Bombyx mori: one gene and its partner. The protein of the gene in region 1 purifies or fractionates together with the protein of each later gene. This does not show direct contact. Links are inferred from orthologs where the notes say so. Each region holds a gene or a part of one and is shown on either strand. Other genes may lie near its edges. The genes, in order: dystrophin, isoforms A/C/F/G/H; beta-1-syntrophin.

Region 1 (3,834 bases):
AGTTTTTTTAACTTTCTTAATTTTCCGCGCAATTTTCCTATTTGTTTCTATCATAAGAACCTTCTCCTGGCAGTAACAAACAGAACAAAAAAAGAATTAGCGCAATCGGTAAAGCCGTTCGCGGATGATGTCGTGACCAAGGGAAATAGGGATTCATTTTTATATATATAGATTAAAATTAAAGTTATTATTATTTTTAAATATAATTAAAAGCAAATATTCTTGGAATACGTTGGATTGTGGCAACATTGAAAATCTAAGAATGAAAGTGGGCGGAGCCAACGGCGCGGCGTTCCCAGAGCACTGTAGAAGTAGGAGTCGGTTATTATAAGGTTCATTATACTTAAATTGACAAATTTAATAAATATGTATGTACTTCGGTATATTTACAGGTGTATTTCAAGTATATTTCACAGTAACTAAACTAACACTACTTTTTTTAGTTCCTGTGAAATTTTTTGGCGCCCTTATCTCTTACACTCTGTAGTGTCGCCACTTAAAGCCGACTTAAGAAAACTAGAGGTCCCGCAGTAGTCGAAATTCGACTATGATTAATTGGAATTGTATAATAAGTTTGTACACTATTATGATTGTATTTTCTACTTCTATCATCACAAATTTCGCCAAGGCTACGCTATAAAAAAATATTAATAAAGACAAACAATATTTAATGTATTCTCAATTTGACCACAGACGTCAAGAACAAAAGTTTGACAATAAATAGTATGCATGCATGTATGCATGCATGTGTGCGTCAAATACATGGTATGTAGTGTGTGTAATGGTTTCTTGATTGATTTAATGTATCTTTTACGCATTATTTAAAAAAAATATTAGCATTGTGCACTTCATCTCTATATTCTCTATAAGTGTGGAAAAATTCATACTCCTCCGTCCGCGCAATTTTCGTAAAAAGGGATACAAAGTTTTTGCTTCACGTATTAATATATAAATGAGGACGTTCTGTGTTCGACTCTGTGCATATTTTATGAAAAATCAGCGGTTTGTGGTTGATAAAATATTACCTAATACGTCTGTAAAATTGTGAATATCGATGATATTGATAATTGGAACTTGGATGTAGGAAAGGTGTCTTTATTTAGTAATAGCTAAAATAGAACGGAGGGTTGAGCATACTTATGGTATCACCGCCGCTTAGGGATATTAGAGTTAATTTCGGATTTATACCACTGCATGCATCAAGCAGCGTTATTTGACAATAGAGGAAATAGAAAGGGCTGTCGTAAGTGGTTTTGTTGACTCCTGATTGTTCACATGGTTGCAAAATCAGAATAATTTCGCTTAAATCGTTAGCTTTAAAAATATTTCACTTTTCATTTATTTACATAAAATATTATCTGCGCAGATTAAAATATATTTTACTCTTAAGTGTAACCTGATAAATGAACTTTACAAAAATATGTACACGCTGTGTTATTTGCATTTTTTGAGGAAATTCAAAGATATTTTTTTTTGTACTATTAGTTAGTTCCATTTGCCTCTTTATCTAAGGAGCAGCTCAGCGCTCTCTGTGTTTTGTACCCGATATTCCATGGAGGGCTCCGAGGTTTTGTTTTTTGTTTTTATTGGCCTTGTAGACAGGCGAACATGAATGAATGAACGTAGTGGCTCCAGGTAGTATGGAAGAACTCTACTCCGGGGGCGGGCCGTGCGATAGTAATAACGAGGTGATGGGATCATCTCAAGCAGTTCATCTGCCGTGTGGAGTACATACATTTAGTAGATACAGTAGGTACCTACGTACATTTGTACATTCGGTACGTAACACAGAGAGAACCGAAGTTCCTCCGTAGACCCAGAGATTCCATGCGATCCATGAGAATGGGATCAACGACAATCCGATTGACCTTTTTCTGATTGAGGTGAAATGGAAGAAGCTGGTATTTTGGAGCACCGGCTGAAAAATGGGGGCAGTTTTCCACGCTAGGCCGGACTTGTGGTTTGTAAACCAAAACCTTTATCCAGGTGCGAAGTGCCGCTTCGCTCTATTGAGGACTCCCATCATTTTTGCGACAACTTGGCTTTGCCCACGAAATGACTACGACAATAGGATATCCACTTCTGGCACTAGTGTTGACCGCCTCTCCTGCATCACGGTCTGGGAGAGACTTTAAGGGCTGATACATCACGCATCCCCCGTGCTATCATCAGCACAACAATGGCATGCCATCAATAGATAGCATATCATTGTTTGATATGATTCCATCATCCCTTTTATCACCGCATCACCTCACTGTAGCGAAGTCCGCCCCTGCCAGCTGGTACCGCTACGGTTATCCACAGTCCGTTGAAACATAATATGTTTGAAAACCACTCCAAATCGCCTGCACGCAAAGTTGCAAGTCGTCTGCACAAAATTTTTTTATTTTTTATTTTTATTGCTTAGTTGTGTGGACGAGCTCACAGCCCACCTGGTGTTAAGTGGTTACTGGAGCCCATAGACATCTACAACGTAAATGTGCCACACACCTTGAGATATAGTTCTAAGGTCTCAGTATAGTCACAACGGCTGCCCCACCCTTCAAACCGAAACGCATTACTGCTTCACGGCAGAAATAAGCGGGGCGGTGGTACCTACCCGTGCTCACACAAGGTCCTACCACCAGTAATTACGCAAATTATAATTTTGCGGGTTTGATTTTTATTGCACGATGTTATTCCTTCACCGTGGAAGTCAATCGTGAACATTTGTTGAGTACGTATTTCATTAGAAAAATTGGTACCCGCCAGCGAGATTCGAACACCAGTGTATCGCTCGATACGAATGCACCGGACGTCTTATCCTTTAGGCCACGACGACTTCAAAATCCTATCTTACCTATCCTAGGTATGCACACTGAAGATTGAGCGTCATAAGGTTTATAATAATAGAATAATAAATGAAGACAAGCTATGCCCTTCAGGCACATGTACCTACTCGTACTATCTCTACGAGCTGAGTGCGCGCGTTGCGTCGGCAGGCACGCTCTGTACTACTCTGTAGGAGACCATAATATTATAGTAGGTACGTGTCGGTTGACGCGAGTGTTGTCGGTATTTAAGGAGTGAACTAGTAACAGTCACAGAACTTGATTTTTTAAATAAAATTAACGATAGCATATATATATATATATATATATAAAAATGAATTGCTGTTCGTTAGTCTCGCTAAAACTCGAGAACGGCTGGACCGATTTGGCTAATTTTGGTCTTGAATTATTTATGGAAGTCCAGAGAAGGTTTAAAAGGTAGATAGATATGAAAATGCTCGGAATTTTGTTCTCCCTTTGATGTGTCCCCCGTCGGACGGATTCCTTTTGTTTGTTTTAAGTTTATTTTATACAAAAGTTTAGGTTTTTGATTTATCTATTGAGACACTACGAATTCTGCCGGGTCAGCTAGTATTAAATAAAAAGAAATTAAAAGTGCACTTACACTTAGTGTAGTTTAGATGCTTTTCGTAGGGCACCCGGGCGCACGGGGGCGCAGCGCCCACCTCCACGAGCCACGTGAGCCGGCGCCGGCCCTGCGCCGCCGACGGTGCCGCCATCTCGTATCCTGACAGAACAACATTACACTCTTAAGTCAAGTCGCATTTTTGATCCAATCAGTGAAACTTTCACTTGACTTCAACTGACGTCGCCGGACCTCACAACACAAGATGAACCGTTGTGGACTTCGTTCACTTTTGCTCTTTTAATTAATAATAATGAAACTATTTTAAGAAATCAAAGGGGTTGCTTGATGGCCACAGATTAATCAACTCAGATGTAACAGTAAATTACAATACACAATCAAAAATCGAGAGCGTATTTTTTATTTTTTTTATTGCCC
Region 2 (3,834 bases), on another chromosome or scaffold:
CACTTCAGTTTGGTGATGTGTTTGGGTAAACATTTTCACTTTGCATCACCGTTTTCGATCAAACGTAACAAATACACAAATATGCTACGCCACGTGAAATATGCCACTTTCAACGGGTTTCCTTGATCAAATATTTAGATATGTATTCAGAATATACATTAAAATATATAGAAATTTATTCAGAAATATTCAGAGCCTGTCCACCCATCTAAGCAATAAAAAAAAACGGTGCGCTTGCAACTTGGTGCACGTAAATGAAGTGAAGCTTCTTTTTCGATGTGTAGTATTGTGGTTTTCTTCATTTTTCATCCTTAAATCAGATTGCTCTTGTAATAGGTAATGTGGTGTATAGGAGATTCGACATCTTCAACATTTTTAATATATATATTTTAAATTATAGATGCTATAATTTGAAATGCTTCATTAAAATATCGGACGCTACTCGTTGCTAACGCTCGCGATGGTCTGTAACAGGTATACTACGCGCATGCGTACGAGTGCCACGCATTCACTTTCGTTCTGTCTCTTTCTATTCCATGGTAGCGTTATACGTTTAACACAATTTTGTTGAATGTCGCATTAGAAGTTTCACTTCAATAAATCTCATTTATCTCTCTTCGTGCCCAAAAGAAATTTAACTTCAATCTTTAAATAGCACGGTACATGCCTATTCAAGTCTTATTTACAAAGGAGCAGCAATAGGTACTAACCAACGTGTCGTCGTCAGCGAAGTGCAGCCAGAGCTTGTTGTTGTCGTCGTCAGCGGAAGCGCGGAGTGCGTGCAGCGGGCGGCGGTACAGCGCGCGGCCCAGCGAGCCCGCCGCCTCCCACACGCACACGCCCGCCGCCCCCAGCGCCAGCCGCGCCGCCGCCCCGCCCACCGAGCAGCGGAACGTGAACTCGGGCTGCGCTCGCACCGCCGCGTGCGCCCCCTCCACCAGCGCGGACGCGGCGGCCGCCAGGTCGTGCGGCGAGTCCGCGCGCAGGGCTCGCTGCACCAGCCCGTCCACGCACCCGGCCCGCAGCCCCAGCGCCGCCGCCCCGCCCGCCCCAGCTCGCCGCCACCAGGCCAGCCGCGTCGCCGCCAGCCGCAGGCTCTCCGCCGGCGCGCACCATGCCTCCGCCGACCACGGCGCCGCCTCATACAGCCTGTTCAATGACGACCATTATACTCCAAAAAATTCACATAAACCATTATGTTAAATTTAAAAAAAAAAATCTCTCTGTTGTAAGCCCACATCGACACCACTGCAAAATGGCAAAATTTTAAAAGCACTATGTGCGCTATTAAGCTCACCTTAACTCTCTGTCTGTGATTGCAACGAATGTTGGCTGCCAGCCTTCAGTCTCGTCGGAGCTGTCAGACCCTCCTGAAGCGCTCATCTATTTTTAACAGAACATTCACGATTCATACAATTATTCCACTTTTTTAGTTTTATTATTCTCTTTTCAAATCTTCTCTATTATTATAATTCAAAATTAACTGACACCTTTTTCACACCTCGCTCGTTCAATCGTCCTCGCCATCTTGCTTTTGTCTTTCATTCTTTTGTCCCTTTCTTACCGTTTTTTCTCATACCTTAACACTCCATTCCACACGCTTTACATGCGTTCCGTCCTTACCCATCCTACATTGATTAATTTTCTTACATGATCTTGCGGTGGGCGCCTTGCCATCCAACCAGCATATCGCACATCGCCTACAAGAGGGCGAAGTCTCGGCCTGGCGCGAGCAAGAGCGGCGCGTGCAGCCCGACGTGCGGCTGCATGTAGCGCGCGATGCCACCCTGACGCTGTGGCCGCTGAACTGGCCCGTAATGCTAATGCGTGGACGCCGTCCGGTGAATATATTTCGATTGTGCGATCCTCTGAAAATTGCATTACATCAAAATATTTTGAAACCTTAAAAATATATACATACTAGCTGTCCCAGTCCACTACGTTAGGCAGTTAAAATTAAAATTAAAATTAAAATTATTATTTCTCAGCTCCACAAAGATTCTTATCATTAACGGCCCCGCAACTAGTGTAGAGAGTCCAACACTCATATAAATATTGGCCTATCCATTAAGTACATGTATTTTCTACATGGATACCAAGTTTCAAGTCAATCGGATGCAGGGTTTAGTAGTTATAACGGAACATCCGTAAAAACCACTGTAGATTTATATATTAGTATAGATATAGATATACTTTTTTAAAGTGAGTGAATGACTCGGTGGTGCAATAGTTAGCGGCCCTGACTGTTGTCAGAGGCAGAGGGTCACGGGTTCGATGCCCACATCGGGCAAGCATTGTCTGACGAACAGGTTTGTTTGTTCTTTCTGTGGGTGTTTGTTATCTGTATATGCATATATTTATAAACATGTATGTTTATCAGTTATCAGGTACCCACCCATAACAGAGGTAATCCTAAATATGGGCCAAGATGACGGCGCGTAATTTGTGGCCAGTTGTTATTATTATTATTAAAAACTGACCTGGGTCATTATGACGGAGATTCTTGGCAACGCATGCCATTAACAGTGGTACATAACGAGTGTCTGCCCGTCGACGGCGTGGAGATGGTGGCGACGGTGGTGTGTCTGCCATATACCCACGTTGTAGCTCCCATCCTACTTCACTTATAATGGATGCCTTACGGAAGTACGGTGTCACTTCACGGAGATATTTCACTGTAAAGGATACACAATTTAATTGGAAAATTGACTATTGTTCTTAAATGAGAAATTTATAATTGCCTAAACTGACAAATAATTATAGATATTTTCAGAAATGATTAAATGGCTAACAAAAAAATGCACATTGCACTACAATCACTTATAACAATGCAATGCAATGCAATATAAATTCGTCGTGGTCTGAAGGTTAAGACGCCCGGTGCATTCATATCGAGTGATGCGACTGTGTCGGTGTTCGGGTGCCGCAGCCAGGTACCAATGAAATACGTACTAAAGAAATGTTCACAATTGACTTTCCTAGACTTCCACGGTTCCCGGAATATCATCCGGAGCCCGCGCGGGTAAGTACCACCGTCCTGCCTATTTCTACCGTGAAGCAGTAATGCGTTTCAGTGTGAAGGGTGGGGACAGATGTGGACTGCAAAAAGTACTCATGTCTCGACATAAGTGGCAGAATTTTTGATGTCCATGAGCTCCATTAACTATTTAACACCAGATGGGCCGTGAGCTCAATGACCTACTTAAACAATAAAATAATCTATTATAATAAGAGTGTCCCAGAGCGATAGATGAGAGTTAGATGTTCTGCAACATTGTTAACTGTTATGTTATTTACAGTTTACTTGAAAGCCGTTTTCAGTTTAATGGTATTATTTAATATATTTCATGAAAAATCACTAAATAGATATGCAGATTATCACTATCAAGAGTTACAAGGAATAGTTAATATCTGAGTTTTTCACTGAAAATACCAAGTTAATAATGGCAATTGAGAAAAAGCAAACTAAATTGTCTTTAATTACATAAAAATGCATAATAATATATTTACTAACTGTTATTCAATGTTAAATGTTAAATGTTAATGCAATGTAATTAAGACGTGTAATATGGATGTAAAATCTGAAGTAAATTAAATAAATAAATAAATACCAATCAGAATGTATAAATATAATCTTGTGGGTATTTGTATATCTTTGTGCAAAAGATTATTTAGAGTAGGACCTACCTGGTATCTCAAATACAGTCTCATATATTTTTTTTCTCTACCTAATTATTTGTAGCCTAAGGGGCTTTTTTTTCGGGCCGGGGGTGGGAACCTCCGACGAGGTCCCCGCGCTTAGGTGGCTCGCGGGGTATGTGGGACTTGACGATG

Evidence for each region.
Region 2: the proteins of dystrophin, isoforms A/C/F/G/H (region 1) and beta-1-syntrophin purify together in Homo sapiens (co-immunoprecipitation; 4 studies listed by BioGRID and IntAct, counting the BioPlex papers as one, with this or other methods). This does not show direct contact. The link is inferred for Bombyx mori from reciprocal best matches to the Homo sapiens genes DMD and SNTB1.

Annotation. Positions count from the first base shown.
Region 1 is NC_085113.1:13,856,698-13,860,531, forward strand, and holds part of dystrophin, isoforms A/C/F/G/H, read right to left. Parts: intron 3,559-3,834; coding exon 3,436-3,558; intron 1-3,435. UniProt on the Homo sapiens protein: Anchors the extracellular matrix to the cytoskeleton via F-actin. Ligand for dystroglycan.
Region 2 is NC_085118.1:12,114,308-12,118,141, reverse strand, and holds part of beta-1-syntrophin, read right to left. Parts: intron 2,676-3,834; coding exon 2,481-2,675; intron 1,869-2,480; coding exon 1,651-1,868; intron 1,384-1,650; coding exon 1,298-1,383; intron 1,150-1,297; coding exon 711-1,149; intron 1-710. UniProt on the Homo sapiens protein: Adapter protein that binds to and probably organizes the subcellular localization of a variety of membrane proteins. May link various receptors to the actin cytoskeleton and the dystrophin glycoprotein complex.